Linked DNA regions of Rattus norvegicus. The protein of the gene in region 1 interacts with the protein of each later gene in a pairwise test. Links are inferred from orthologs where the notes say so. Each region holds a gene or a part of one and is shown in the gene's direction. Other genes may lie near its edges. The genes, in order: Prkaa2, Ccnb1ip1 and Kifc3.

The links.
Region 2: the proteins of Prkaa2 (region 1) and Ccnb1ip1 interact in binary tests that used the Homo sapiens proteins (3 or more experiments, as listed by UniProt). The two-hybrid records come from large-scale screens. The link is inferred for Rattus norvegicus from reciprocal best matches to the Homo sapiens genes PRKAA2 and CCNB1IP1.
Region 3: the proteins of Prkaa2 (region 1) and Kifc3 interact in binary tests that used the Homo sapiens proteins (3 or more experiments, as listed by UniProt). The two-hybrid records come from large-scale screens. The link is inferred for Rattus norvegicus from reciprocal best matches to the Homo sapiens genes PRKAA2 and KIFC3.

What each region holds. Positions count from the first base shown.
Region 1 is NC_086023.1:125,102,983-125,113,762, reverse strand, and holds the start of Prkaa2 (5'-AMP-activated protein kinase catalytic subunit alpha-2), read left to right. Parts: upstream 1-4,752; 5' UTR 4,753-5,015; intron 5,016-5,197; 5' UTR 5,198-5,445; coding exon 5,446-5,539; intron 5,540-5,615; exon of another isoform or gene 5,616-7,084; intron 7,085-10,780. UniProt on the Homo sapiens protein: Catalytic subunit of AMP-activated protein kinase (AMPK), an energy sensor protein kinase that plays a key role in regulating cellular energy metabolism.
Region 2 is NC_086033.1:26,487,408-26,497,676, reverse strand, and holds the end of Ccnb1ip1 (E3 ubiquitin-protein ligase CCNB1IP1), read left to right. Parts: exon of another isoform or gene 1-2,973; coding exon of another isoform or gene 2,974-3,049; intron 3,050-3,057; exon of another isoform or gene 3,058-3,458; intron 3,459-4,618; coding exon of another isoform or gene 4,619-4,638; coding exon 4,639-4,935; intron 4,936-6,641; coding exon 6,642-6,975; intron 6,976-8,467; coding exon 8,468-8,667; 3' UTR 8,668-9,215; downstream 9,216-10,269. UniProt on the Homo sapiens protein: Ubiquitin E3 ligase that acts as a limiting factor for crossing-over during meiosis: required during zygonema to limit the colocalization of RNF212 with MutS-gamma-associated recombination sites and thereby establish early differentiation of crossover and non-crossover sites.
Region 3 is NC_086037.1:9,913,851-9,924,530, forward strand, and holds part of Kifc3 (kinesin-like protein KIFC3), read left to right. Parts: intron 1-768; exon of another isoform or gene 769-837; coding exon of another isoform or gene 838-906; intron 907-1,946; coding exon 1,947-2,012; intron 2,013-2,446; coding exon 2,447-2,590; intron 2,591-2,677; coding exon 2,678-2,917; intron 2,918-3,208; coding exon 3,209-3,382; intron 3,383-3,793; coding exon 3,794-3,941; intron 3,942-4,017; coding exon 4,018-4,148; intron 4,149-5,032; coding exon 5,033-5,144; intron 5,145-5,894; coding exon 5,895-6,076; intron 6,077-6,702; coding exon 6,703-6,807; intron 6,808-8,342; coding exon 8,343-8,473; intron 8,474-8,835; coding exon 8,836-8,959; intron 8,960-9,578; coding exon 9,579-9,708; intron 9,709-9,799; coding exon 9,800-10,029; intron 10,030-10,259; coding exon 10,260-10,394; intron 10,395-10,680. UniProt on the Homo sapiens protein: Minus-end microtubule-dependent motor protein. Involved in apically targeted transport. Required for zonula adherens maintenance.

The sequences.
Region 1 (10,780 bases):
CTCAAAAGGGGGTTTGAGTTCACATGAGCTTTCAACATACACATGAAAGCAAGATTCCCCAAAATGCTGGCAAGACCCATAATGTTTACACAGCAAAGCAAACAGCCTTTGTTATTCCAATTAATACATCTGCTTGTGAAGAGAGCCTGAACCAAAGTGCTCATTTTTTTTCTTTAGATACATTGAGTATTCTAATGTTGACTCATATTGAGGCAATTTAGAAACGTATACAGCTACAAAATGAAAATAGATCATGTTAACGACGACATTTCTTACTAGGATTCTTGCTAAAAATAACATCTCAAACTTACTATATTTCTTTCAAAGAGTTTTAGGTATTGTCACGTGCATCTGCTTCTCTTTAAGAGTTTAGGCCTAGTATTATCCTTCAACCTTAAAAATCAGTGATGATAAATGTCAAAGGGTAAAGTTATAAATAATCTGCCAGTGTTAAAGCATTTGTTGAGAAACCTTGAACTGTGAATTACTAAGATTTATAGTAATCCTATTCTATCTATCTATCTATCTATCTATCTATCTATCTATCTATCTATCTATCATCTATCGTTTATGTATGTTTGTATCTATCATCTATCTATTTTCATCATACGGAGGACTGAATCTAGGACCTTCCATACACTAGGCAAATGACTTTATGCCAAGCTAGATCATATATATATATATATATATATATATATATATATATAGAGAGAGAGAGAGAGAGAGAGAGAGAGAGAGTAGGGTCTTGGTAAAATTTCTCAGGCTTCCTTTGAATGTACTTTTGCTCAGGCTAGTCCCAAACTCATTCTGTAATCCTTGCAAGCACTGATAAAACTTCTGCCTCGGCCTCCCAAGTAGCTAGGACACAGGTCTGGTCTTCCAGGACTGGCTTCTTATTCTTTTAATAATCCTATTCTAAAATGAGGAGTGAGACTTTGGAGTGAAACTCCTTAACAATGAAAATGTACTATACAGAAAGTCTAGACCAACATCAGTAGTTTAACTAATGAATAGTGAAACAATGGCTTAGGAACAGACTGTCAAGTGGCTAAACTCGAACACATTATTTTATTCTAAACATAATATTTTCTCTGCTACATCTTATGGTCATAAAGAATTATTAAAATAAATAATTATGTCTAACATGGTTTTAGCACATGAGACAGGTAAAATAACTGTAATTTTTAAAAAGCAAATTTCATCTCAAAGAAGAGGTGGAAGCCACTGTAGACAAGAAACTTGAGAGATGTACAAACAAAATACTTGTCATGACTTTCTTTTTGAATCTGGTACAGAATAAACAAAATGTAAAATTATGTTCATAAGGCAATTTAGAGAAATTGAACATAAAATATCCCGCACTGTTAAGAGCTTAGTGTATATTTTGTTAGAAATCACTGTACAGCTATTCTAAAATAAATTCCTAGTATGCTAAAGCTTTGAAATGAGATATTTACTAATGAGACAATCTATCTGGTTATTTGTTATTAAATATCCCAGGAAACTAATAATGAAAATGTAGAGAATTAGGCTGGCAAATGTGAACAGTATCTATCAACAGTCATGGGGTCTACTTGGCATCTTGCTATGGGTAGCCCAGCCTATCCTGGACTTCATGATCTTCCCATGTCTGGCCCCATCCAGGCTGGAAGTACATTCTGCCCATCTTTAAACTCATTTTCTCATAGAATGGGTTTTCAATGTGAATTTTGAACCTGTATTACAGACAAGATCCCATCAATATGACTGCTAAATGTTTAATTTTCTTTTTATTTGAAATTGAAGAATAATAAAAATGCCTTACCACAAATCTATAAAATGTGGTTGCTTTTGACTCATGCTTCTTTCTCACCTCTGATTGGGATGCTGAGATATGTAAAATTATGCCTTATATTTAACCTGGGAATCTTAACTGCCTTGCATGGCTGTTACAAGATGCCTGCCAGAATGACTGAAGAGGAGGTTTAGTTTCAAAGATCACAGTTGGTCATGGTGAAGAGGTAACAGTAGGGCCCAGCAGCTCATATCATGTCTGTCAGGAAGCAGAGAGAACGCCTGTGCCTGCTGATGCTTTCTTCTTTCCCCTTTTATTCTACCTGGGCTTCAGTCTATGGCCTGGTGCTACCATATTCAGGATAGGTCACCCCCTTGTTTGGAATTCCTGTCCACAACTGGGTGGTGCGGTGCATGCCTTGTGAGTACTTGGGAGGCAGAGTTGGGGAGGTCTGGAACTCGCTAGAGTGTCATGCGATTCCATTATAATGAAATGGAAGGAAGAGGACAGCTTGGAACTGGATCTGAGTCTGGCCGGCTTTGCCTTTAGCTTCACAGCCTTGGAAAAAAGGAGGGAAAACTGAGTTTTATCATCTATAAAATGGGGACAATAATGTTCCCTCATGACAAATAACTGCGTTTAAATGAACTTCTTAATCAAGAAAGTATTGTTTAGCATAAGACCACAAGGTTACTGGAATAACAAAGAAACTTGAATTGTCAGTGAACAGGCAGCTCAACGTGCTTTAAGATCTCAGCAGATAGCTTTCCCTGGTGTAGCTTCACAATGTAAAGACTCTTCGACATCATTTATTAGATTATTAGGACAACACAGACACACATATGTAACTCTCACCAGAAACGCTTTCTCATATTCCCCATCCGAATGACTAGCAAGGGAATGGTCTTTAACCAAATAAAAGTTCAGCCTTAAAAATAGCCAGGAAGCTTTCTCAAATTTACCAGCTAGGTTGAGATTCGTAAGTGAGACGTCTTGTCAGCAGGAAAGGTGATCTGAAGAGCGAACAAAAATAGCCCGTGTCCGACAGCTGTGATGTCTATAATTTATACGCTGAGATCACCTCTCATCAGATCGCCATGGCGTACACACAAAAGAGAGTCAGTCAGTTGTATGTTTACTAGGTCTCAGGAGATGAAATTTTGTTATGCCCATTTCCTAGGTTCACTCTTTACGTACAAACATCGTGACTTGAGACTTCATGTTTGAGGAATGTGACTATGAAACTCTATCGGCATGCACAGTGTCACAGTTGTTTGACTAACCTTTAGTAATTTAATCACCAAACAGCAAATAATCAGTTTTCTTTGTGTTTCTAAATTACTTTTTTCATGGGAAAAATTGCAAGTGTTTATAATGTTTTGAAATGTGTTTGTCTTAGTCAGGGTCTCTATTCCTGCACAAACATCATGACCAAGAAACAAGTTGGGGGAGGAAAGGGTTTATTCAGCTTACACATTCACATTGCTGTTCATTACCAAAGGAAGTCAGGACTGGAACTCAAGCAGGTCAGGAAGCAGGAGCTGATGCAGAGGCCATGGAGGGATGTTACTTACTGGCTTGCTTCCCCTGGCTTGTTCAGCTTGCTCTCTTATAGAACCCAAGACTAGCAGTCCAGGGACAGCACCACCCACCCTGGGCTGGGTCCTCCCCCTTGATCACTAGTTGAGAAAATGCCTTACAGCTGGGTCTCATGGAGGCATTTCCTCAATGGAGGCTCCTTTTCTGTGATAACTCCAGCCTGTGTCAAGTTGACACACAATACTAGCCAGTACAGTGTTTGTATGTGTTCAGGGAACTGCTATGGAAGTAATGGAGGTATGAAGTTTCATATTCCTGTAACAGGAAGCAAATAATCTTCAGGTATGGAAGGATCGACCAACATTAAGTAAAGCAAGGAGAGAAGGGGGAGGGGGAGGCAGGGAGGAAGAGATTGCTTGATCATAAATTATTTGCCCACTGTTAATACTCTGGTCATGCTTTGGATTCTCTTTACTATTTTTTTACTTTCATCCTCAGTAATCCATTTCTTTAATTTGCACTTTTACATCATTTTTGTTTCCCACAATTCTTTGATCCCTTCTGTGTTTTGCATTTACCTGAACATGTGAATTATTTCCTATATTAGTATTTCTCCTTTGTCCAGTCACACACACACACACACACACACACACACACACACACACACACACACACACACACACACACACAAGTGCTGAAATATACTTAGGGCTCTGTTTGTGATTTATTGAGAAATTTTGTTTAAATTAGTTAGAATCGAGAGTCCTGGAGAGGGTGTCTTTTATCCCTATAACACGATTGTCTATATAACTGAATGAAGAAAAGAAATAGAAGGAGGGACATAATTGCTCCTGGCTACAGTGGATATGCTGGTTTGTCATTTGTCAAATTGACACAAGCTAGGGTTATTTGAAAGGAGGGAACCTCAATTGAGAAAATGCCTCCATAAGATGTAAGCTGTAAGACATTTTCTTAATTAGTGATCAATGGCCCATTGTAGGTAGTGCCATCTTTGGGCTGGTGGTCCTGGGTTCTGTAGAAAACCAGGCTGTACCAGCCCTGATGAGCCAGCCAGTAAGCAGCACCCTCCCGGTGCTAACCCCCCATGGCCTCTGCATCGGGACTGCCTCCAGGTTCCATGTACTGTTTGAGTTCCCATCCTGACTTCCTTCAGAGATGAACAGTGCTGTGGAAGTGTAACAATAATACCTGTCCTCCCCAACTTGTTTTTTGGCTATGGTGTTTTATCACAATGAAAAAAAACCTTAACTAACACAACGAAGAAGGCTTATTGTAGATAAACGAACGTACAGGCAGAAGCAGGGACGTTTAGGAGAGTCCAGGGTGAACATGGGCAGACTGAGCAGGGCTATGTGAGGAGAGAGGGGGAGTGGGAGCAAGAGAGGAGCCAGGCCTAGAGGGGTGGGTGGTCTGGGCTGAGAGATTAGCACAGCCAAAATGGCTGAATAATCTAGGGACCAGGGGACCTGAGGGAAGGGGCTGGAGTCCCTGGGCTGGAGAGTTCGGGGTAGGAGTCGAGGTATGGCAGGCAGGAGGACCCTATCCCAGTTAGGGACTGAGGGATGCTGAGAGAACCTGGCAGCCAGCGTCATCTTTGATATGTTAATGATAGGCGTCTCCTTGGGCAGTTTGTCCAGGGTTTCGACCTAACAATAACGTGACAAGGAACTACAAAATAAGCGTGAGTTCTAAAACAATGGGGTCGCTATCTGAGGAGGGTACGGACTAGAGCGTTCCCAGTCAAATAAACCTTGCCTGGGGGGAGCGTGCCAGGGGCTAGGGAAGGGCCGCCCTCCCCGCCTGGTCCTGCTGTCCTGAGGCACGTCTCATGGTCTGCACCCCCTCACCCCCACTTCTCTTCAGATTCTCCTTTCACCTCGGTCGCTCTCAGACTCATCCCTTCCATCTTCACCGCCGTGGGCTTTCCTCAGGACGCTTCGGGCTCTGCGCCTCCAGCTCGCGTCCACACACGCCGAGCCGCGCTCACCCTACCGCGCCCCAGGCGTCCCCGTCCCGCCCCCCGGGCCCGCTGCACTGTGGGTAGGCGGTGGCGGCGGCGGCAGCGGCGGCGGCGCTTAGAGCCCGCGGCCCGGGGAGGCCGCGCGCCGAACATGGCTGAGAAGCAGAAGCACGACGGGCGTGTGAAGATCGGACACTACGTGCTGGGGGACACCCTGGGCGTCGGCACCTTCGGCAAAGTGAAGAGTGAGTGCAGCGGCGCGGGCGCGGGGCCGGGTGGCAGGTGGAGCGCTCGCAGGCGAGCCCGGGGCACAGGCACCTGGCGCGGCAGCCGGGGCGTGGGTCAGGGGGACCCACGGTCTGAGCTGTGCCTTGGCGGGGGTGTCTGCGAGCACCCTGTCTTTTCTCTACCCGTCAGCTCACTTGTCTGCAGAATTGGGCGACTGGCCCAGTCCAAAGGGCCCCGAAGCGTGGGGAGGATGGGGTAGTCACGGCGCCGCGGATTGGGAGTGGGTCTCCCACTGGTGCCAAGCGCTCTGCCTGGAGCAGCATCTGTGGTCTCACTTAATCCTTTACGTGGCGTAGCCAGGGTGCGGTCCTCACCTTAAAGGTGAGAGAACGCGAGCTCCGAGGCTTCAGCGGCACGCCCAAGGTCACAGAGAATTGGCAGATTCAGGGTGAGGTCTAAAATGTCCTCCAATTTTGGCCTTGCCGATAAGGCCCCTGGCTTCCCCAGATTCTTCCCTGTCCCAGGCCTTTGATGGTGGAGTTGACTAGGGGCATGCCTAGAGCTGAGAGGTGGCGAGTCCCCTCTGCTGGGTGTGTGAAAACGCTGGAATGCAGCTGGTTGGGCAGAGGCTTTAGGGGAACCCCAGCTCTGCAGGTTGATTGGTGTGTGTAAATTGGTTCTAGGAAGACTTCTGGGGTCAGGGTCTGGGAAAAATGTTCCTTGGTAATGGAATTTGGGTCCCCAAGATGTCAGACTTGCTTAGGCAAGGCGTTTGTTTGATGGCAAATTGTGGGTTTTGGGGGGAAAAAAAAACAGGTTGCTTTTGAAATTTCAACTCCACTTACTAGTTAAGTATTAAACTTTGCTTTGTTTTCTTATTAGTTAATAAGAGTCACATGGGTTTGGTTTGATTACCAGCTCTTGTTAAGAAGATACTTGGTAGCGAGTTGAGAATTAAAAGTGAAACGTTAGCTTTTTTTGTTGAATAAATAGTGGGTAAGCAGTCTGGGAATTTTATGCTAAGGCATATTTTTCACATTTTAACCTCCAGTGAAGACTTGAATAGAAGGCAGGGACTCATCATTCCTGCGAGGATTAACTCCTCTCGGTCTATCTAATACCCATTTGTACAATGAGAAACACTGCTTATTGAATGCTCTTACCACATGCGAGTTACTGTTCCAGGCAACAGAGTTCTAGGAAAGCAAAACCTGAGCTTTCTTGGGACTTTTCCGAGAGGGAAATGCAATCAGAATACACGTGAAAAATGTATGCTCCCTCCTACTGAGAAAGGCAACTAGGGGAAGAAAGGATGGGGACTTTAGTTAGGCAGATTATATTAAGGTGGTCACACATGGTCTCACCAAGTGGGTATTTTTGTAAAGACCTAAAATGTTCGTAAAGTTATTTGAAGTCTTATGAAATCGGGATCTTGTAAGAACTGTGGATAGTCGTGAGATGGTCCAGAGATTTGATGGGTGATGTTGACACCATCTTTGCTGAGAACTGCTTTGCTGGATTGGCAGTACAAAGTTATGCAAACGGCTGCTTTGCCATTTAGGGTAAGTTATATAACTTAGCCGTTTATGCTTTCATGTTCTGCTAAATGCTTTTGTTTGCTTTTGAAAAAAAATTTATTGTACTCTCGGTGTAGAGTGCAATACCAACTCTGATTCCTCAAACCATTGTCACGGGATAATTTAAAACTATTTGGTTATATTCTTTGCTTCTAAACCACCAGCTTCCTAAAGTATAAATGGAACTGAAGGGACCTTTGATTTACGAGAAAAATCTTTTTCTTGGAGAACCCTGGTGGAATGAGCTGTTTGGGGGTTTTCCTGATGTTGTTTGATCTTCCCTAAAGAAACACTGTATGGTGTGATAGTTACTATTTATGTCAAATGCACACAAAGAAGACTTAGCTAGGAAGGGAATCTGAATGAAGAGTTACTTAGATCTAATTAGCTCGTGCACATGTTAAAGTGGGAAGCCCCCCCCCCCCAAAAAAAAATTCTGGGCAGCACTGTTCCCTGAGATTGGGTCCTGTACTGTGTAAGTATAGAGGGATGGCTGAGCATGAGCAAACATCCATGCATGTGTTCTCTCTCTCTCTCTCTCTCTCTCTCTCTCTCTCTCTCTCTGTCTCTGTCTCTGTCTCTGTCTCTCCCTCTGTCTCTCTCTCTGTCTCTTTCTCTCTCTGTCTCTGTCTCTCCCTCTGTCTCTTTCTCTCTCTGTCTCTGTCTCTGTCTCTCTGTCTCTCTCCCTCTCTCCCTCTGTCTCTCTCCCTCTGTCTCTCTCCCTCTTTCTCTGTCTCTCTGTCTCTGTCTCTCTCTCTGTCTCTCTCTGTCTCTCTCTGTCTCTCTCTGTCTCTCTCTCTGCTGGTGACTGAGGATGTGACTGCTTCAACTTCCTGCCTCCGTTTCCCTCAAAAGGTCTGTAGCCTGGAGATCTGAGAGAAAATAAACCCTTTCTTTCCTAAGTAACTTTTAGTCAGGGCATTTTATGACAGAAATTAAACTAGGTCGTATGGGTTTGTAATCAGTACGGCCGTAGTTGTTAAGTAGTTAAGTCAAGGGACTGGTGAAACAGAGCACACGCATTATAAGAATACGTTTTAATCTATTATTTGACAGTTTCATACAATGTGCTTTAATTAGTGCGCTCTCTCTCCCCCTCCAACTCCTTTCATGCCCTCCCACCAAATCTCCATCCCAATGTCACATATGTATATAGTGGTGCAGATATGTGCATGGGTACGGGGCCAATCCACTAGGGGTCACATCTCTGAAGAAAACTAGACCCCTTGCCCCCAACCCCATAAACAACTGTGAACTGTGTAGGTAGTTTCTCATCTGAGAGTGGGCCTTCTTGAGCTCCTCCCCTATGCAAGGCATGTGTAGTTTTAAAAATGTGTATTGAGGTATTATAAAACATATTATAGAAGTTACTGATTTTAAGTATACAGGTCAACAGTTTTTAGTACCAAGTACCAAGTTTACCAAGTACCACAGCCATCCATGTAGCTTAGCTGGAGAAAATTTATCTTATCCTTTATTTTAAATGTAGTTAATCCCATTCCCACCCACAACCCTCGGATACAGCCATTTACGCCGAATATGTATAAGGACTGTCTTTTCTGGAAAAAGATGAAGGGGTTGTGGAGCATGGTGTCTCTATGTCTAGCATTTTGTTCTTGAGTTCATATCTATCACTGATTTTTTTCCTTTTTATTGTTGCTTGAGCTGTTGTATGCTCCCCCTCCCCCCATGCTTCTTAGCTGCTGGACATTGTCTTGCTATACAGGCTATTACAAAGAGCGCCTCCATGAATATTCACACGCAAAGGCCTGCGTGTGGATGTGTGTTGTTTCCCCGAGAGAATACTTGGGAAACTAACTCAAAGAGAAGACATATATAGTTCAGCCATGTTTAAGAGGTTTATGTCTGTGGTTACTTGCAATGGGACTTTCTTTGGGACCAACAGCTCCTGAGTAACAACATGGAGACATATTTATTATGAATGCTTAAGGGCTTATAGTGTAGGCTTATTCCCATCTAGCCTGTAAATTAGCCCATTTATTTTTACCTAAATTCTGCCTTGTGTCTTGTTACCATGTCTCAGTCTCTAGTCCCATGTCTTCCTCAGCATCTGGCTGGAGAATTCTCTCCAGCTGGACTCTCCTGGACTCTCCTTCCCGAGTTCTATCTCTCTCCAAAGTCCTGTCCATCCTCTCCTGCCTCACTATAGGCCGTCAGCTTTTTTTATTAAACCAATCAGAAGGTGAGAGAGGGAGTGTTTACAAAGTTTGATGTATCTGTACGAATAACAGTATCAAAGTCCGGTTTGCAATCAGTGCTCTCCTGGCACAGAACTCAGCATTTGAGCAATAAAAGACAATCCTTACACAGTGCACAATAATATTATCCCAGCAGTTACTTGATCATTTTGTTCTGTGTTGTAATGAGGCAGAACACTGTGGTAGGAAATACGTGAAGCAAAGAAGCTTACCTCATTAAAGATTGGCTCACCTCCTACTCTCTACTGCCACCCAGTATGGCCATCGATGGTGCTATGAACATGGCAGGGATTAGTCCCTTGCTGAGGGTGGGGTCCAGTCTGCTTCACTAACTCGAGACTGACTCTTGAACACACAGCATTTCGAGGACTACTCGTATCCAAACCTCACCACTGCAGACACACATCTTTTCACACCTCGGATGGTTACTTAGCAGTGGGGTTGCTGGTTCCTAGCATCGTTTTGTCTTTTGAGATGCTGGCAAATTGTTTTCCAAAATGGTCGTACCGTCTTATATCCCACCGACATTTCCCTCCATTTCTTTATCAACAGTGGTTATTATTTGACTTGTTACATTTATTCCACTGGGCATGGAGTTTTGACCTTGCATTTTAGTAGTGACAGTGTTTTACTATTGGCCATCATTTCATTTATTCAATCATACACATATATATATTTTCTTAAATATAAATATATACATATGTACATAAATATATACATATGTGTATATATATATTTGTTGTTTTGATTTTTGAGATAAGGTGCCACCATGTAGATATGACTGTCCTAGAACTTGCTATGTAGACCAGGCTGGCTTACAACTCTTAGAACTCTGCCTTCTGAGTGCTGAGATTAAAGGCGTTCAACCCACCTGGCTATGTGCTTGTGTTTAGTTGAGGTGTACAATGAATGTCTTGAATAGGGTTTGCGCTGTATGACAACTTATCTTGGATTTGATTCCCATACCACTTGAAAGATGCTGGAACTTTTCTGCGTCATCTTGGTCTTTAGTGGAATCGTTGCCTTTCTTCAGTGTGTAAGTAACAGTGGGATAGATAAACTATTGTTATAAAGCTAGTTCGTCCTTTGTGGTTTGTGGCTTTCCCATGCACTTGCTAGTCCTGCTTTTTTCCTGCTATGAGAGCCAGCACCATGGAGTGGTTCCCAGAAGCTGAGTAGATGCTGGCACCATGCTCGGAGACTTCCCAACCTCTGTCGCCACTGGCCCAAATAAACTGCCTTACTTAATAAATTACCTGCTCTCAAATATGCAGTATATCAGTAGAAGATAGGCTAAAACAAGTTGCTCATCAACTTTTAAGCTGAGTTAACAGGATTTCTTGAAATAAATTTTTGCTACAAATTCCTTGCTGAATATATATATTCCTGGGGTTGGGGATTTAGCTCAGTGGTAGAGCGCTTGCCTAGGAAGTGCAAGGCCCTGGGTTTGGTCCCCAGCTCC
Region 2 (10,269 bases), on another chromosome or scaffold:
TTAGATGGGAATGACAGTATAAGACTTGAAGGGTAATTATTCTATACTACCTAGAAACTCTGATCTCAGGGCTAGAGAGGTGGTGGTGTGTAAGAGTGGTTGGCTTTTCCATGGAGACTCACAACCTTCTGTAGTCAGCTCTAGTGTCAGGGGATTTGCTCCCGTCATCTGGCTTAATGTATACACTGCAGACATGGTGTGCAGACATAGGCAAAACACCTCTATGTATGTTAAGTTCTGTGTCTGCCAAGTGGCCTACTCATCAGGGCCATTACCATTGGCTCCCAGAGTTTAGTTCTAAAATTAGGCACGGTATGGAATGAGAATATACTGTAGATGCCCATATAACTGAGCATATATCATTTTTTCAGCAGACTAATCTTGGTTTGGCACTAACCAAGATTTCATAAGGCAATGGTCTTTTCTGTTTCATGGGCTTGATCCCCGTCAGTCTTAGCTTCTAAAAGCTTCCCTATGTTGGAAGTAGACTGTTACTGTTGAGCCTAGCTAAGATTTTATCTGTCATAAAAAAACTGGCTTGTCTCCTCAGGAAGTGTGCATAGATATAGAGAATTTTTTCATTATACTAGTATTTCACAGTGGTTGACCTTGGGAGTTATTGGAACATTCATGTTTCTGTTTTAAATGATTTGTTGATTAATAAAATTTTAAAAATTTAATGTGTTTTGAGTGTTTTTGCTCGAGTCTTAACCATTTATTCATTTGGTGCTTGAGAGCAGAAGGGGGTGTCAGAGTCCCTAGAACTGGAGTGACAGGCAGTTTTGAGATGCTGTGTGGGTGTTGGAAATCAAACCCAGGTCTTCTGAAAAAAAAAAAAAAAAAGTCAATAGCCCTAACCATTGAGCCATCCCAAGTAATGAATTTCTTTTCTATTCCCCCCCTCCCCCCAGAGGCATGGTTATCCTTAACAGTCCCAGTTATCCTTGAACTCACTGTATACCAGGCTGGCCTGGAACTCCCAGATCTGCCTGCTTCTGCTTCCTGAGTGTTGGGATTAGAGGGGTGTGCTCACTGGGCTCAATTAATAATAAATTTCAATGTGTGGGTGGGGTGTACTCGAAGGTGAGAGCCGACTCCCCAGAATAGTGTCACAGAATCAACTTGCAAGTCGGGTGATCAGGAACACAGTAAACCCTGACAGTTCCACATGTTGCTGTCCATTGTTTATGCTCTTTGACACTTAATGAGGTTGTACTGTGTTTGTATTCTTTATGTGTCTGGGACAGTTAACCAGAAAAAACTCAAGTTATGGTTTACTCATGAACCTACTTAAAGAAACACTGCTGTCCTAAGTTAAGGTAGAAGTAAAGCACCTGACCTCAAGCCCATATTAAATATGATATATATTAAATATCCTGTACCCTGCTGTTTCAAAACCAGCCTGCCTAAGGAAAACAACTTCTCCAGTCCCTATCCTTAGCTAAAGAATCCCACCATGAAGCATGTAGTCTGCATTTTCTTGAGGGCTGGCTGCTGAGTGACTGTCCTGTGTCATCATTATGATGGCCTGTTTAGAACTAGAGATGCTAAATCTCTCTTTGAATAAAGCCAGCTATAGTTGTTGGTGGTTTAAATTCTCATCTGTTATTTTCTTCCTATAAACTACTGACATAACTGGTACCAGTAGGATTTAAGTTGCTAGGGGCATACAAATGTTAGAACCAATTGAGTGGACTGAAGGAATATGGTTTCCAATGGCTGTAGCTTTGTTTAAAATGCATGAAAAACAGGTTCTATCTCCAGCAAACACTCCCTTGATCCCAGCATTTAGTAAGTTCAGAAGTTCAAGGTCATTGTTACACACCAGTGTAGGAGACATGAAGCCTGGGAGAAAAGGGAAAGAGGTTTAATATTGGGAAACATGGTGACCTTTGTGTGGCTGTTAATTCATTCACAACAAGTTCATGTCCTTTGAAGGTGGCTGCAAGAAAGTGGCATTAGTTTGCATCCTAGCTACCTTCTTCTAATCCTCTTCTCAGCTTAATTTTAACAGTGGAAAAAACCACTGTTGCTACAGGTAAGCTCAGAAGGGCAGAGTTACAGCAGTGTTTAGGAGCTGGAGAGGTGGCTCAGCAGTTAAGAGCACTGACTGCTGCTCTTCCAGAGGTCCTGAGTTCAATTCCCAGCACCCACTTGGTGGTTCATAACAGTTTATAATAGTTTCATGGATCCTATGCCCTCTTCTGATGTGCAGATTTACACACAGACATAAATATATATATTTTATATATTTACACATATACATAAATCTTAAGTTTGTCACTTTACTAGCAAAGATGCCTCAAAGTTAAGACTCCTGGAATTGGAGGGCTTACCTCAACAGTGGGACATCCATGTGGAAACACAAACATGTAACTTTGGGAAAGGGTCTCACTGTATTTCCTGGCCTAGCCTGGAACTCGATCAGCTTTTTTTTTTTTTTTTTTTAATGTTTTATTGTATATGAGTACACTTGCTGTCTTCAGACACACCAGAAGAGGGCATTGGATCCCATTACAGATAGTTGTGAGTCACCATGTGGTAGCTGGGAATTGAACTCAGGATCTCTGGAAGAGCAGAACCCAGGGCTGGGGTTAAAGAAATCGCGCCATTATGTGCCTGGCTAAAGATAAGTCTTAATTTTCTTTTCTTTTCTTTTCTTTTCTTTTCTTTTCTTTTCTTTTTTTTTTTTTTTATACCAGGTCTCTATTAACCTTAGCTGTCCTAGAACTCTGTAGCTCTCGACTCACGGAAATCGCTTGCCTAAGCAGGGATTGAAGGTGCTGCCACCACCACCTATAACTTCCTATCAAGCGCCTTGTTAATAACCAGTGCAGACAGACTTAAAATAAGTTATTTCATTAACTGTAGATTGACCAGTAAAAACAGGCATCCGATTACCTCAGCAGTGAGTGCCTGGTGCTGCCCAGCAGCTCGCCTCGTGCTACCCATCAGGCCTTGCGGGCACCACGCATGCGCTCTGACAGCTCAGCCACGCGAATCCTGTCTTCAGTGGAAGGCCGACACCTTTTAGCTTGTCTTGCTACAGGTATTTGCTTTTCTGTGTGTGAGGTGGGGGAAGTCAGGAGATTAAGAGAAAACTGTGGGGTCATGTTCTGAAAATCTTGGCCTGCCGTCATCTTGTGTGACCTCCCCGGCTGCCTTGTGGCAATGTGGAGGCTGCACTTTGACCTCAGCTAGGAAGTGCGCTTTACCCTACTGGAGGTAAAGTAAAATTGGCCTCTTCTCATGTGAATTGTTTCAGGAAACGCAGCAAGGGTGTCGGTAAATCTGAGGACAGGGTCTCATTGTAGCCCATAGTTGCCGCAGGTTCGAGAGACTTCTCAGGCTGGCAGGTTCGAGAGACTTCTCAGGCTGTCGGTCTGTCAGTCGGTCCGCAGTACAGGTGTGACATTTGAGATGAAGGTGTCAGCGTATCCATTGCCCCTGTTACTCAGGTAACATTGGTTTGCTTTTGAGACAGCATCTTGGTGTGTAGCTGAGGCTGGCCTCGAAGCCTAGGGTGACCTGGAACAAAGTCTGTCTTCTGAGTGTTGGGATTAGAGGTGTGGCCCATTAATCACACTACTAAGGAGACCTTAGTACTAAGTATGTTGAATGTGCTTGCTTTGTCTTTGTATATAATTGATACACCACTTATACAATATATGACTTGTTAAAGCTGCTGCTTTCTATGGTGAACATTATTGAAAAATAACTTTAGACTAAGAGAATTTGTGGAAACATTTTAAATCAAACCATAGCAATGTTAATAGGTGTATTATTTAACTAAAAATATAAACAGGCATTTCAATGTAGACTTTCCAAGCTTCATAACAGGTAAATTAGCCTCATATCTAATTTTATCAGGCAGCTAGTCTTTTAAAGTCAAGGCAGTTTGGTTAAGGGATATGAGAAATCAAGATGTATAAAATAACCTAAAAATACCACTTAGATTTTTTTTTTTACTGAGAAGTTCCTGCAGCTATGTGCAGTCCCATGTTTACCAAGTAGGAGGTGTACTAGCCCTAACTGGCCTGAACTCACTGTGTAGAATGGCTTGACCTCGAGCTTTAAAAACTCTGTCTGTTTCTGCCTCTCAGGTACTCTATGACCTGGTACCACCATTCCTGGTCATTAGTAGAATGCTGTATGTTTTGGTGTTCGAAAAATGCCACAAGGGACAGATTTTATTTTTGTTTCTTTTTGCTGTGTGATGTTTCTAAACATTTGCATGTGCATAATGTTTTTGACATTGGTAAGAGTTGGAGGGCTGGAGAGATGGCTCAGTGGTTAAGAGCACTGACTGCTCTTCCAGAGGTCCTGAGTTCAAATCCCAGCAACTACATGGCGGCTCACAACCATCTGTAATGGGATCAGATGCCCTCTTCTGGTCTCCTGAAGACAGCTACAGTGTACTCATATATAATAAATCTTTTTTTTTTTAAAGGAGTTGTAATTATCTATATATATGACTTTCTTCATGACCTTGGAATGAGAAGGCATTGAGGCTGTATATACGTTCATTAAAACAATGTCCAGTTTTTTAAAAATAGCACTTTAGTAAAGTTTCATATTCACTATAATTTGGCTCACTAACCTTCTTGTTCCTTGTTAGGATTCTTTGGGACACTCGTCATGTCTTTGTGTGAAGACATGTTGCTGTGCAATTATCGGAAGTGTCGTATCAAGCTCTCTGGCTATGCTTGGGTCACGGCCTGCTCTCACATCTTCTGTGATCAGCATGGCAGTGGTGAGTTCAGTCATTCACCAGCAATCTGCCCTGCTTGCAACAGCACCCTTTCTGGAAAGCTAGACATTGTCCGGACAGAGCTCAGTCCGTCAGAGGAGTACAAAGCTATGGTATTGGCAGGGCTTCGACCCGAGGTTGTTTTGGACATTAGCTCCCGAGCATTGGCCTTCTGGACGTACCAGGTTAGTGCCCAGGGGATGGGGGGGTGCCTCAGTTCGTAAAGTGCTTGTGTAAGTGTGAGGGCGAGAGCTAGGCTCTCCTGTGAGGAAGACCTGATAGGCAACATCACCCTGCACAAGCACAAGCACACATGCACACAGACAAACATACACTGAAGTGTCATTTGAAGCTTACCGAGGATCTGCGTTTCTCTTGGTGTGAGGTATCAAACCCGGGGGCTTGTGCTTAAAAGGTAGTGCTTTCCCACCGACCTCAATCCCTAACTACCCTCTGAGGGATTTCCTAGGAAAAAAGCCCCTTCATTATACTTATATTTCATATAAATACGTGAATGCATAGAAAACTTTGTTTATATTAAGTATTTGTCATGTGCTAAGTAGATACTTGTTTTTATATTTTGTGAATAAACTCTGAAAAGTGATTATTAATATTACTAATGCTGGGGCTGGAGAGATGGCTCAGTGGTTAAGAGCACTGACTGCTCTTCCAGAGGTCCTGAGTTCAATTCCCAGTAACCACATGGTGGCTCACAACCATCTGTAATGGAGATCTGATGCCCTCTTCTGGTGTGTCTGAAGACAGCTACAGTATACTGACATACATGAAATAAATCTAAAAAAAAAAAAAATTACTAATGCTGGAAATTAATACGGCAGCAGTTATTCCTTATCCAGCTAGTTCTCCAAGTAACCACACAGAGACCTTTTAATATTTCAAAGCTTAGGCCTTAGCTGAGTAGATTTAATTAACCACCTAATCCCACCCAGTCATGTGGCAAGCTGCACCGTCCAGGCTCTTAGTCACATGTCTCCTCTCCCGTCTCCTGGTGAAAAGTTTCCTTTTCTTTTCTTCCCAAAGTTCCTGTCTCCCTCCTAGGAAGTCCTGCCTATCTCTCTCTACTGCCCAGTCACAGGCCTTTTATTGACCTTTTATTGACTTGGGGAGCAAGGTTTTCACAACAAAGGCTGGCGTATGAGAGATTTCATTCGTCTTAGGGCAGCCAGACGAATATCTATATCGAGGGGTATAGAATTTAGCGTTTTCTTACATAGCGGCACCAGACTAATCTCCAACAACTGAGCTTGTGCTTCTGTTTTATTGTTTATGCTGTATTCCAGCTACTTTAGCTAGAGGGTTTTTTTTTTGTGGTGCTAAGAATCAGGCCCAGGGTTGTATATATGTTAGCCATGCCAAACTGTTTTCCAAAGTGGTTGTACTACTTGGTTTGCTATGTTCTAGTTACACGTTCTGCCCAACATGGGGTCACACATGTGTAAATTTTAGGAAGCAACAATATCTTGAGGTCTTATTTTACTCTGGGTCGTTGGGAAAATTGGACATCATCCATGTATCCTGTAAATATGAATTTTTTTCCTTGGTTTTTGTGCCACGTGGCCCAGGTGGCCTTGAGTTTGATCCTCCTGCCTGTATTTCTTGTCTGCTGAGAATCATACATAAACTTTCACAGCTAACTTTTCTGCTCTCTTTAAAGCTTAACTTTCAGGCTGTGTGTCCCTTGTGGATAAGACATGCTTGCTTTGGTGGCCTAGTTTTCTGAGCAGCCCTTTTTCTGTAGCCCACTCATTGTATGTTGTGACCGTTATAAATATTGTAACAGTGATGCCCCTGTGTAAGCGTTCTTTCCACTTCTGCGTGGATGAGCATTCGGAGTCTATAATGTTGTGCTGATTCTTATCTACTTGGACAGGTGCACCAGGAACGTCTCTATCAAGAATACAATTTCAGCAAGGCTGAGAACCACTTAAAACAGATGGAGAAGATATACACGCAGCAAATACAGAGCAAGGACGTAGAATTGACCTCTATGAAAGGGGAGGTTACCTCCATGAAGAAAGTTCTGGAGGAATACAAGAAGAAGTTTAGTGATATCTCTGAGAAACTGATGGAGCGCAACCGCCAATACCAAAAGCTCCAAGGCCTTTATGATAGCCTCAGGCTAAGGAATATCACTATCGCTAGCCAGGAGGGCTCCCTGGAACCAGCTATGATCCCACAGTCTGGAGTCTTTGGCTTCCCATCAGGTAAGAGGGAATCTCACGTTGTGCTGTGTCATTCCCCACATTCAGAAGACTGAGAGTGATGGACAGGAGTAAGGTGAGCTGTGGGGTCCTTGTCTTACTCCGTACACTGTTGCTCTCAGGTGGAGTGCATACGTTTAAGTTATTTTTATTTTTATTTATTTATTTTTTTTGAGACAGGATCTCTGCATAATCCTGCCTGTCCTAGAATTCACTATGTTGATCAGGCTGGCCTCAAACTCACAGATCTGCCTGCCTCTTGAATTCTTGGACTTAAGGAGTGCACCACCATGCCTAGCTGGAATTATTTTCAGTTTGAACAGAGTTAATCTCTGCATAGTAACACGCTGAGCCACCTTGCTGTCTTGGACTGAGCAGTTCTTATTTCTGCCTTTTGATCCATTTGCTTGTTTAATCTGTTATCACGTAATTATCAAATATATTTTATATGCTAGGCTCTTGGTCATGATTCCAAGTAAGAAGGATGTAATAATTATTGTTGTCTATGCACTTCAACATCTAGGATGACTCAGGGTCTTTGCTGATTGTTGGCTGATTGTTGGCTCATTCCCGGTGGCACCAGTGCAATAGTGTCCAGCAGTTTTTTTCCTCAGTATTAGCACAGTGTATAAGTTGGCATACACACTTAAAGTCTCGTGGTGGACTTTTCCAAGTACTTAAATTTTGGTGTTAGAGGCTAGAGAGAAAGATTCAGAGGGACAAAAATGTCCTGGAATGGGACTGAGAGGTGAGAAGAGTGTGCAGACAGAATGTCCCATGACTGGGACAGGGAATGTCTCACGGCTAGGTGGAGTGGGAGGCAGAGGCAGGTAGATCTCTGCCCACTGCTCTACAAAGCAGCTTCAGGACTGGAGTGAGACCCAGTCTAAAACACAACCTTTTCCTAACGTCATTATTTATAAATGGCAATTCTGTCATTTAAAATGGCCATTGAATATATCTTTTTTTAATCCTTGTACATGTTTTTTACTCTCTTGGACATTTTTAAGAATATTTTTAATGTGTGTGTGTGTGTGTGTGTGTGTGTACACATGTGCATTTCCTATGGAGTACAGAAGAAGGTGTTGGATCCTGAAACTGGATAATCGTGAGCCACTGTGTGTGTGCTAGGAACAAAACCTCAATCTGTTAGAAGGGCACACTTCACCACTTAGCCTCTCCTTTTCTTAGCCTGCTGTCTTTAGACAGATAGAGTCAGCTATTCTTCTTCCTGAAGTCTGTTAAAGCCAAGGAAGGTGTGGGAGAAATGGTCAGATGTTTACTCTGCTTTGATTTTTCACAGAGGGAATAGTATATTCTGTGGTAGGGAAGGGTTGAGTGACATGGCCTTTGTCTAGGAGATGAGTTTAAGATAATTATGTTATCCATCTTATAGGAGTTGAATTTTGTTAATTTTTGTTCAGTGGTTGTTAGTTTTGTCCCTAAAGATCTTTTAGGAATTATTCTTACTTTCTTCCCTAATTTTCTCCCCCAGGGAATAGCTCAAAGTTTTCTTTGGACCATACACCAGCTGGAAATCAAGGTGGTGGAGATGAAGATGTTCAGTTCAGACCATTTTTTGTGTGTTCTCCCACAGCACCTGAACCTGTTAACAACTTCTTTAGTTTTGCGTCTCAAAGCCATGAAGCAGAGCAGCAAGTCTGCAGCAGGGCCTTTAAAGCAAAAAGAATTTAGCTCATTTTTTATTTCAAGACTGTTTTCCTGCATCCCTGGGTTCTCTTCACATGTCGGCCTTAGAAGAAGTTGGCTTGCAGTCGGTATGTGGCTTCCTGTTTGGTTTTTTCACTGTTTGCTTAGGGCACGGGCATTTCATGAATGTCAGTCTCTAGTTTGCCATTGCTCACACAGTCACACTGCTGCACAGATCGTGTTTCAGACCAAGCTGTGTTTATGTTTATGTAGCCACCAATGTTGTATTTACATGGCGCTTTGGATTCCAGTGTGTGTATGTTGAGTGTGTGCATTGATTCTTCTGCCAGTATATTTCTGTAAAAATTATGGTCTTGGAAAATGATGGCCAAAATAATGGTCTTAGAAAATGGTGGCTTGCAATTAACATGTACTTTACAGTCATGTATTTTGGAGGTGTGCTTATGCCAGTGGCTGGAAGTGCAATTTGATGCATATGTGTTCTGTTTATCTTTAAAAAAATTTATACTGATAAAATTATTTGTTGATTTCATTGGTATTTGTTTTAAAATAAAACTGCTTTACCTTTTAAACAGTTGTTGATGTGTTTATTTGGGAATGGATATATTTTTATTTTTAATTATGTGTATCCCTGGATATGTGCACAGAAAATTGAAGACTTAAGTCTCTACTGTTCTAATCACTTAATTAAAATGCTGAATAAAGGCCGTCTTTATTTAACTGCACAGCAATACAGTAATGACCCAAGTAGTGGCGATGCACTCAGGAGGCCAAGGCTCGAAGCCCTCTGAGTTCGAGGCCAGCCTGGTCTACAGAGTGAGTTCCAGGACAGCCAGGGCTACACAGAGAAACACTCTCTCAATAAACTAAACAAACCAAAAAGGACCAAGGAGCTTCTTTCTTAATCTTTTATGCAAATCTTGTAGGGGAGAAAATTGTTTTTTTCTGGCCTTGCTAACAGAACATTGTTAAGGCTGTGAATTCAGGTGAGCCTGGAGTTGCCCTGGAAGTCCAAAGTGTAGTCAGACTGATTACAGGGTTTTCTTGGGTCAGTCAATTCTGAGTAGGTTGAATATGAAGTAAAAGTAGAGTGGTTCCTAGTTACAAATGACCTCAAAGTACATTAACTTGGTTACAGATAAGGTGAACATTAGATTTGTGAAGAGCAACTTTAAACATAAACAGAACTTCTCAAGCCATTCCTATTCTTGTGTTACTGACTCTAAGAATGATTTCAAACAGTTTTTATTTTAAATTAGGTTCTATTTCTAACTTATAAAGTAATTGTGCCTAATTAGTGCATTCAATTACTGTCTCATTAGAGGACAAACTATCTGGATTCCCCTCCACATACACTAGCGTGAGACTGAGTTAACTTTTCTAGGCTTCGTCTTTGTGGAGACTTACTGTTTTTGGTTTTTATTTTTTCTTTCTTTTTTCTTTTTTTTTCGGAGCTGGGGACCGAACCCAGGGCCTTGAGCTTGCTAGGCAAGTGCTCTACCACTGAGCTAAATCCCCAACCCTGAGACTTACTGTTTTTGACTGGCTTGAGCTTACTACATAGATGGTCAGTGAATTTCACCAGATAAGGAAACTTGGTGACAGTCTGTTTCCAGAGGTTGGGAG
Region 3 (10,680 bases), on another chromosome or scaffold:
GCTTGGCCCTGTGCTCCTCTGCAGCCCTAAGCCCGGAGCCTCAGGTCAGCTCTGTGATGGGGAGGCACAGGCACGAAGGATGTGGTACCTTGCTCTCCGCTCTTCCTGTGTCTGTCGTCCATCACGTCCTCTGGGCATTCCAGCTGTTTCAGACACACGCCCGCTCTCCCAGACTCCACATGTTTGTACTGACCTCAGGTCCTCCAATACAGAGCCTCGCTCCAAGAGCAGGCAGGGCCCTTCTCCCGACAGAGGCTCTGCCTGCCCTGGCCCCTGCAGATGGTCCTTAGGAGCCATGAAGGAGTTAGTAGGCTGTGCCTGATGGGGGAAAATGGCTACCCCTAACAGGGTGCCCTTTCAGACCAGCAGGGTTAGGTTCCCCTTCTTCCCATCACATCCCATGTCCTGTGTCCTCCTGTTGGTCTCAGCAGAGCCAACCGCACTTGAGTTCCCATTGTGATGCAAGAAGGAGTTGGGTTGTAGACAGGCCAGAGGCCCTGCCTCCTAGGAAGCCTTGCCAGCCTACGTTCCCTACAGCAGGACTGAGAGCCCAGCATCAGCCAGCACTGGAAACAGCCAAGGTCAGAACAGCCTTGGGCGTGGTGAGGCGATGTGGAGAGGTAGGAACTAGATCTTATTTTTAGGGTGGTTGAAATGCAAGAGAAACCAATACACTGAAAGCCTGACTGGGAATCCTGTAGAACCACCAAGCTGTGCTTCTTCAGCCGGGAGGCCTGCTCCTTCTCGTCCGTTATCCACACAGGCTCTTCCTTCATAAGATGCTAGGGAGCTGCTGGGGCGCAGGCTGCTCAGGGCGGGGCAGAGCTGTGGAAAAGGATGCTACACACCAAGTCGGATCGCTTCGAGGTGGCCCTTCAGACTTCAGACTTTGCCCCCAGGACACCAGTAAGCAAGTACTGGCTTTACACTTGCCTCGCCGACCTTGCCGACAAATACCGCAGCTGACCTCGCTGCTTCCCCAGTGCAGTGCTAGGACTTCAGGCCAACTTGCTTTACGGCTGTTCAACTCGGCTTGGGGCCGAGGGGCACATGAGCATGCACACACACTCTGACTCACACGCACACACACACACACACACACACACATGCACACACACACAGACTCTGACACACACACACTCACATGCACACACACACAGACTGACACACACTCACATGCACACACACACAGACTCTGACACACACACACTCACATGCACACACACAGACTCTGACACACACACACTCACATGCACACACACACACACACACACACACACACACACACACAGTGAGTACATTGTTTGCCTGTGTTCACTTCCACCGTGCTGGGCACGTCACAGCTCTTCAAGGTTTCTGGACAGGGCTTGGCTGCAGAAGGCATAGTCCCACAGGCTGACTCAGTAGAAACCACTCAAGGTTTGGGAGGTGCTGGGCCCTGGGCAAGGCTGAGCCCAGGGACTATAACTGTTCGTGTAACTTCACAGTCCTCTTAAAGCAGAACACTAAACAATTTTAGCCGGGTGGTGGTGGCACATGCCTTTAATACCAACACTCAGGAAGCAGAAGCAGGCAGATCTCTGAGTTTGAGGCCAGCCTGGTCTACAGATCGAGCTCCAGGACAGCCAGGACTTCTCAGAGAAACTTTGTCTCAAGGGAAGAAAAAAAGAGGCAGACCCAGGGCTTCAGAGGGGCCTGTGCTAGTGCGGTGTCCTGAATTTCTAGAGCACCTCTCCGGGCCTTCCTGCAGAGCCATGACTGGCAGGGAGAGGGCACTGAAGGCAACTGGGAACAGGCTAGCTTACCAGAGTTCCCAGCGTAGCCTGGTGCTTGAACATAGGGAAACTTGAGGTCCTGGATCAGAAGCCATGCTGGCTATTGACTGGAGCTGGGCAAGAGGCCTGAGTGAGGACTGGTGGGGTAAGGACCTGGCTTTGTGCCTACAGGTGGAGAATCTAAAGGAAAAGCTCATTAGCCAGGCCCAGGAAGTGAGCCGACTGCGATCAGAACTGGTGAGGACCCCAGGACCTTCTTGAGGGGAGGGGTGGGTGCCAAGCCGTGGTCACTCTTCCACCTCCGGATGTGGCTGTCTCTGAGTGCCCATGCCCTACCCTGGCTTAGGCCGTCTTGTCTCACACGTGTCACTTCACACCACAGAGCAGGGGGCTGGATCTCATTGGCTGCCGTCAAGAAGGAGTGTGAAGTCTGTGCATAAATTTGACTTTGTGTGACTTTCACACGAAGGAAAATAGACTGAGAGGGGCCGGGGCAGGAGGGAGCGAGCTTTGCTGGCCTCCTTTCCTGCCTTTCTTTTGACGTCTCTCTGAGCCCTGGCCTCTTGCTTTGCCTGCCTTCCCCTTTCTTTCCTGCTGTCTCTTTTCCTCCGTTCTCATCTCTTGGTACGGCCTTGCTTATGCCTCCTCTGGGCCCCGGCGGCTCTCCACAGGGGGGCACCGACGTGGAAAAGCACCGGGACAGACTGATGGTGGAGAATGAGCAGCTGAGGCAAGAGCTGAGGCGCTGTGAGGCGGAGCTTCAGGAGCTTCGGGCACAGCCGGTGGTGCCCTGCCAGGGTTGCGAGCACAGCCAGGTAGGCTGGAAGGCAGCCTCCACCCTAGGCCTGTGGGCTCAGCTTGAGATGACCCTGTTCCCACCCGGCTGCCTTGACCACCCGCAGGAGAGCACCCAGCTCCGGGACAGGTTATCCCAGCTGCAGCTGGAAGTGGCCGAGAACAAGGGCATGCTGTCGGAGCTGAACCTGGAGGTGCAGCAGAAAACCGACCGGCTGGCAGAGGTAGAGCTGCGGCTCAAGGACTGCCTGGCTGAGAAAGCACAGGAAGAGGAGCGACTCAGCCGGCGCCTGCGTGACAGCCACGAGACCATCGCCAGTCTGAAGGCCCAGTCCCCACCTGTTAAGGTGAGTGGCCAGAGAGGCTGCACCGCCCTGAAGGACTCTTGGGCTCAGGGCAGGGCTTGTCCCTGAAAGGTGTACCTGCTGTTGTCGATGTCCCTCTTCAGTCTGTGCCCAGCCCGGGCTGTCAGGCTTCCAGCAGGCTCCCCTTCACAAGACACCAGAAGGCCCTGCAGCAGTCTGCAGAAGCAGAGCCTTTCAGTTCCTAGAGGTGTTAGCAGCAGCTGTCATTGGGCTGGCACTTGTGGGTCAGCTGCCTCTGACAGTGATCCGCCCTGTCCTTCCCTCTCTTTGCAGTATGTCATCAAGACAGTGGAGGTAGAGTCGTCCAAGACCAAGCAGGCCCTCAGCGAGTCCCAGACCCGGAACCAGCACCTGCAGGAGCAAGTGGCCATGCAGAGGCAGGTGCTTAAGGAGATGGAGCAGCAGCTGCAGAACTCGCATCAGCTGACAATACAGCTGCGGGCTCAGGTGTGCAGGCCAAGACGGCTGTAGTGGGGACCCCCCCAGACTTGGGGTTCAGTTTCTCTTTCTCCCTGGCCACGGGGAACACAGGAAAATGATCTGGAGGGGCTGTCCCTGGCCACCCAGTGCTGTGCTCAGTTTGTCCCGCCCCTGCTCTTTCCAATCTGCTGAGCCTGTGTACCTTGGGGGCATGTGGGCTGCCATCTATGTGTACAGACCAGTGGGAACTGGGGCTAATACAGGGGGGTGATGGCTGTACAGACTCACAGCCCTGCGGGGGAAAGCAGGCCACTCCATCCTCTACACCACCAGCCATAACACTTCCGTTCATGCCTTCTTCCCGCTCTTGCCCCTCCCTTCCTCATCCCTGCCCCTGCCCCGTCACTGCACCTTTTCCTGGCCTGGCCTGGCCATCAGATTGCCATGTATGAGGCAGAGCTGGAGCGGGCGCACGGGCAGATGCTGGAGGAGATGCAGTCCTTGGAGGAAGATAAGAACCGGGCCATTGAGGAGGCCTTTGCGCGGGCCCAGGTGGAGATGAAGGCTGTACACGAGAACCTGGCAGGTGAGCTGGAAGCTGGCCCCGCCCGCCCCCACGCCCCTGCCTCACCCGCAGATGCCTTAACACCCTGCCCCATTAGGTGTCAGGACCAACCTGCTGACGCTGCAGCCTGCGCTGAGGACCCTCACCAACGACTACAATGGGCTCAAGCGCCAGGTGCGGGGCTTCCCCCTGCTGCTGCAGGAGGCTCTCCGGAGTGTCAAAGCTGAGGTGAGTGAGGGAGCCCAGTGGGAGTTAGCCGGGAGCGGCAGTCACCTTTATTCAGAGGCCCCTCTTGCCTTACTCCCACAAGGCACAAACGCACATGCACACACTGTCCTCTCATGAGCTCCGTCTGTGCTGCCGTACCCCTGTATCTATCTACCAGGGTTGTTTATTTGAGACAGGGCTTTTCGAGCAGGCTGACGTCCGTTCGTATTTTCCTGCCTCAGCCTCGCCACCATCCCTGGCTTGCTCTGTTTATGTACTTGACGTGCTAGGGATTGCACCCAGGGCCTCACACCCGCTAGGCAGAAGCTCTACCCCAGAACTTTATCCTTGTGCTCATTTTGTTTTTTAAAACCATCACACTGTGTGAGACCTAGCCAGTGACTCCTAAGTGTCTCCCGTGTGACCGAGCCTTTCATAGCCACTGGCTTCTCAGGTTCACTTGACAGCTCTGCAGAGACGGATATATTTTGGGAAAAGAAAATAGTTCTTTAAAGAATTATGTCGGTGATACACAGATGTTGTGAAGAACCCAGGTCATATTTGAGCATCCTCAATCTTGGGTTAATGTCTCTCCGTCCCTCTCACCCATGGAGAGAACCGATGGAATGTCTTCTTGTGCTTAGCTGCTCGGGAAAGGTTAGATTTGAGAGAAGCTGGGTCATGCTGTAGCCAGGTCCTCAGTCCCGAGTCTTCGCTCAGTCTTAGTCTAGAGCTCTTTTTCTCCATCTATAAAGTGAGGGCACTGGCTATACCTCCTCAGAGGGATTATGGGGAAAGGTTGTCTGCTATCAGGTACGAGCCCGGGCTGGTGAGGGTAGCGACCCCAGCGGCCAGTGAAGGGAGGCCAACAGCAGGCGTCTGAAGGCGCTGTGCCTGCTCCCCAGATTGGCCAGGCCATTGAGGAGGTCAACAGCAACAACCAGGAGCTGCTGCGCAAGTACCGCCGGGAGCTGCAGCTGCGCAAGAAGTGCCATAACGAGCTGGTGCGGCTGAAGGGTGAGTGTCTTCAAATGTGCGTCAGAGCTGTACTTGCTGCTGCCGCCGCCGCCACCGCCAAGGCACAGAAAAGTCAGGAAACTTGCTTAAAGACACACACCTAGTGTATGGTCCACCCCAGATTTGAACTTGATCATCTTCCAAGCTCCTTGCCCATGGTAGGTTCTGCCCACCCTGGGGGATGTGGTAGGGCACTGTGCAATGGTAGCACTTGTTCCAGGTTTGGGGGTCACTGATCCCTGCCCTGAGCCCCAGGGAGCACCTGCTGTGTGCCAGCTACTGTTGCAGACACTGGGGAAGTAACTGTGTCCCCATACCACAGCCCTTGCCAAGTTCACGGTGGCTGAGAGAAGGGACAGTGACCATCACCAGGTGTGTCCTGTCACCAGGGCTGGGAGCACACATATAGCTGTCCTTTTTGTCCGTCCAGTACCCAAGTCCTGCTTAGCATTGCCCATGCCCCTTTAGATTAATAGAATAAATCCCTTGGTTCATGGAGTCCAAACATCTCTGCTAGATGAGGTCCACAGAGAGTGTTTCCAAGATTGACTGTATTGTTTGGCCACAGGTCAAAGCATCCTGACTTTGCTCAGGAAGAAACTATAGTAAGTGAATTCACACAGTGTTCTGAGTGACGGATACTGTGTTGCTCCCTGGTCTCTGCATAAAAGATGGGGCTCCTGGGCCACTAGTTTGCCTGGAATTGCAGTCTGGCATTGATCCCCCCCACGTCTCCGTCACCCAATCTAGGAAACATCCGGGTGATTGCCCGAGTCCGGCCAGTCACCAAGGAGGATGGGGAAGGACCTGAGGCAACCAATGCTGTGACCTTTGACCCTGATGATGACTCCATCATCCACCTGCTGCACAAGGGCAAGCCTGTGTCCTTCGAGCTGGACAAGGTCTTCTCCCCGTGGGCGTCCCAGCAGGATGTGAGTGTGGCTCCACGAACAGGGTATTTGTGGGGACACGGAAGAAGCAACAGAGGAAAGGACAGACACAGGACAGGGGTCAAGGCTAGGTGGGGGAAAAAAACAACCTAAGTGTAGGATTGTGGGTCATTTTTCTACCTGGAAGAAAGAAGAAGGTGGGAAGGTATAGTCAGAGGCCTTAGGGACGGAGAGCCACACAGAGCCTGCCTTACCCAGGGACCTTAGCCTACCCACTCCATGGCCCCTCCCACCCCAAGACCTCACTCATCTGCCAGTAGGCCTGGAGATTGGCCTCCCCTGTTCTGAGTTTCTTTCCTGTAACAGTTCCATGGAACGTTCTAGAACCTTCCACTGTCGCTGACTGCTCAGTGCCAAGGCTGGGGGAGTCACAACTTCACACTCCTCTCTGCTTCGGAAGAGCTCACGTCTGCTCTGTCCTTTAGACCTACGTCAGAATGTGTCAGGCACATATATCCTCAGCCTTGGTTTGGTTGGTCCTTCCCTGGGAATGGACGAGCTGGGAACAGGTCCCAGCCCCTGTGCTCTCGTGGATGAAGGGCTGGCTGGGAGGCGGCTGATGCTGGAGCTGTGGGGCCCCACATGCTCCCCAGCCCATGTCTCCCCAGGTGTTCCAGGAGGTGCAGGCCCTCATCACCTCCTGCATCGATGGCTTCAATGTCTGCATCTTTGCTTATGGCCAGACAGGCGCCGGCAAGACGTATACAATGGAGGTAGGTGTCTGCCCAGTGGGGCGGGACTTAGGGGCCTAAGTGTATGCTCTGTCTTAGTCTCATAACCCCCTGCACTGCTGTTCCTGCATTGGCTCCAAGAGACCAAGCCTACAAACAATAAGCTCTTCCCAGGAGCCTGCTCCATAGGCTTGATATGGGGACAGGCCATCCGAGACCTTGCATATATTCCCCGTGCTTTGCTGTGGCTGCCTCAGACTATGCTTAAGGCTGGCTCTGGGCACACGCCTGGGATAAGGCCCTTCTCGGAGAGCCCAGCCTCCCACAACTATAGTCATGTAGGTAGGCAGTCTCTCCGTCCCATGGCTCAAGGCCTCCCTGGGGGCTGATGCCATTCCACTCATCCCGATAGCCTGAGAATCCTTCTACTTGAGTAGAATTTTGTTTTGCTGTTGTTTTGAGACATGGTCTCTATGTAGCCCTGGCTGTCCTGGAACTCACTGTGTTGGCCAGGCTGACCTTTGATCCACCTGCCTCTGCCTCCTGAGTGCTTGGATTAAAGTGAGGGCTGTGCAATCCTCAGGCCTCCGTCTCCCCTCCTAGCGCAGAGCTGAAGAGTCTGACGGAGAGGAGACTAGCCCTGTGGCATATTGCTTTGTTAGTAGTTTCCTGATTCACTAGAGACTGGTGTGGACTCCCCCACATAGGATTAGGGAGAGAAGTTTGCACAAGAGCTTGTCACTTCCTGCTGGTCAGGCCACTGGACACCTCTTGTAACCATCCCAGACCCCCCACCCCTAACTCACATACTCGGTTCTGGTTAGCAGGACACAGATGGGATGGAAGGGGGTGGGCACAGTGGCTCCAGAGTACTCAGCTCTGTCCTGGGCTCTCTGCTGAGGCCCGAGAGACCTGCAATGACAGAAGAGCCTGCAAGGGTCCCACCTGACTGTTGGAGTGGCAGTGAGCACAGTAAATCAGCAGGTTCCCCGCAGGTGCCAGGGACAGCCAGAGTAGAAGTGACGCTCCAGCAGGGATGGGGTACCTGAGGGAGCTGCTGTAGAACTTTCGACAGGCAGACCTGCAGGGCTTTGGAGTGTGCCCGGCAGCCAGCGTCCTTGACACAGATCTAACACGGATGGGATGAGGGAAGTGCCTACAGAGCAGAGGGGAGGTGGCTACGGTCCACTCAGGTGGGCTCGATTCCTTCTGAAAGGTGGTCATTTCATCCAGCCTCAAGCATTTCACCCAGAGAGCCTGGCTCCCTGACTGGGAGCCTCCCAGTGGGCAGTGGGTGGCTCTGTTCATTTCAGCTGCCCCTTCCAGGAGGCCCAGTAGATCATAACCCTGGTGCTCCGCAGGGATAGTCTGTCAGGCTCTTCACCCCTTTCATGCTCACTAACTTCCTGGCAGGGAAATGCTACCTTCAAGGTAGGGAAACGTGCTTATACCTAGCAGAGGGTAATCTGAGGACAGACAGCAGAAGAGGCTCGCCTGTAGGGGTGTATGTACCTGAGGGCATAGGGTAACATGTGTGAGCATCTGTGGGGCCACTTGGCCTTTACTTTTGCCAACAGGGCACCCCCGAGAACCCAGGCATTAATCAGCGGGCCCTGCAACTGCTCTTCTCAGAGGTGCAGGAGAAGGCGTCCGACTGGCAGTACAACATCACCGTCAGTGCAGCTGAGATCTACAACGAAGTCCTCAGGTGGGCCTGGGCCAGAGCTCTGCAGTGCTGGTAGGGGGCTTTCTGGTCTCCAAGTCTAAGTTCTAGATGAGGCTAGGAAGATCTGCCCAAATTTAGGAGGTAAGTCCTCTTTCCTTACCTGGGACTCCTTTCCCTGTTGTGTGCTGCACTGTACTTGGTAGGGATGGGGCCCCCCGTCCAGTTAGGCTGCACAGTCCTCAGACTTCTGTGGAAGTCCGTTTCCTCTTTTCTGAGTGCAGGGGAGGTGGATGGAGAGAAGAGGTCAGCAGCCCTGTGGTCCAAGATTGGTGCATGGGCAGATCCCAGGCTAGGGACTGGGTCAGAGCAGGAGGGGAGAAGTAATGTCTCCCTTGCTGCTCCAGGGACCTGCTGGGGAAAGAGCCTCAGGAGAAGTTGGAGATCCGACTGTGTCCAGATGGCAGCGGCCAGCTGTATGTGCCAGGGCTGACTGAGTTCCAGGTGCAGAGCGTGGATGATATCAACAAGGTAAGGAGTCCTGGGGGAGTACGGGAGGCCCTGCCCACCCCTAGCTGCTCCAGTGGACACAACTGGGCTCCAGGGTGGCCTTTGCCACCACCCAACTATGCAGCTTGGGTAAGTCCAAGCCTTGTTTCCTCATCTGAGAGGAAAGGCAGACTTAGGAGCACCCTGTAAGGCTGAGTAAAGCTGAGTCAGGAGGGTTGTAAATCTGAAACCAGTTTGACTGCCTAGCAAGACCCTGTCTCAAAAACAGGGCTGGGTGCACAGCTTTAGTGTCAGCACACAAGCAGACACAGGTGGGTCTGTGAGATCCATCCGCTCTACCTAGACGTTCCAGGCCAGACAAGGCTACAGAGTGAGACTTGATCTCAAAACAAAACAAAAAATTAAATATAGCAAGCAAGAAGTGATGCCCTACAGCCCTTTATCCCAGTGTCTGAGAGGCAAAAGCAGGCAGAGCTCTGAGCTAGCTGGAGGGCAGCTTGGTGTATACAGTATGACCTTGCCTCTGCCTAAAACCAAGCAATAACAACAAAAAAAAAACCTCAAAAAGACTTGAGTGTCCAGATCAAACACAAGGGTGGCATTGCCCTTCCCAAGGGAGCCCCACTGTCTTTGCCCCCAGGTGTTTGAGTTTGGCTACAACAACCGCACCACCGAGTTCACCAACCTGAATGAACACAGCTCACGCTCCCATGCTCTGCTCATTGTGACGGTGAGAGGCGTGGACTGCAGCACAGGCCTCCGCACCACGGGTGAGAGACACACGGTGGGCATTCTGGTCAACCCCTCCAGGCATTGGTATCCTTGGGGCAGTGCTGACCTGCCCCTTTGCCCTGCCTGCAGGGAAGCTGAACCTGGTGGACCTGGCTGGCTCCGAGCGTGTAGGGAAGTCGGGGGCTGAAGGCAACCGCCTGCGAGAGGCACAGCACATCAACAGGTCACTGTCTGCCCTGGGGGACGTCATCGCTGCCCTGCGTTCTCGACAGGGCCATGTGCCCTTCCGTAATTCCAAACTCACCTACCTGCTGCAGGACTCACTCAGTGGTGACAGCAAGACCCTCATGGTGGTACAGGTGAGGGCTTGGGGTTCAGGAAGGGCTTCCCCAGGCCGTTTGCCTTCCCCAATCCCCACATAGACCTCCCCAACACCCTCATGTAGTACACAGGTCCCTGCCCATTTTCACTGCCCACAGTGGTCTCCCCTGACCACAAGCACCCTCGGGGACCATGCTGCTTGCTACCCCCTGTAGCCCAAGGGGGCAGCCAGTTGCCAAGGGTTGGACCTGAGCTCTCTGTCCCCTAGGTGTCCCCAGTGGAGAAAAACACCAGTGAGACTCTGTACTCCCTCAAGTTTGCTGAGAGGGTTCGCTCTGTGGAGCTGGGCCCTGGGTCCCGCCGTACAGAGCTAGGTTCCTGGTCAAGCCAGGAGCATCTAGAGGTACTGCATGGGAGAGGGGAGGAAGGGGAGGGGAGGCTGGTACTGAGTAAGGGAAGGGGCAGGCAGGCTGGTGTAGTGAGAAGGGAAGCTACCCGAAGGTGGGTGAGACTAGAGCTCAGTGGTGCTTTTGTTTTCTTGAGACAGGGTCTCACTAGGTAGCACTGAGTGGCCTGGAACTTGCTTTGGAGACCAGGCTAGCCTCAAACCCAGTAGATCTGACGGCTGAGATTAAGGCTGTATGGCACTACTCGTGACCCCTTTGGCCACCTTTGTCTCAGGGGCCAGC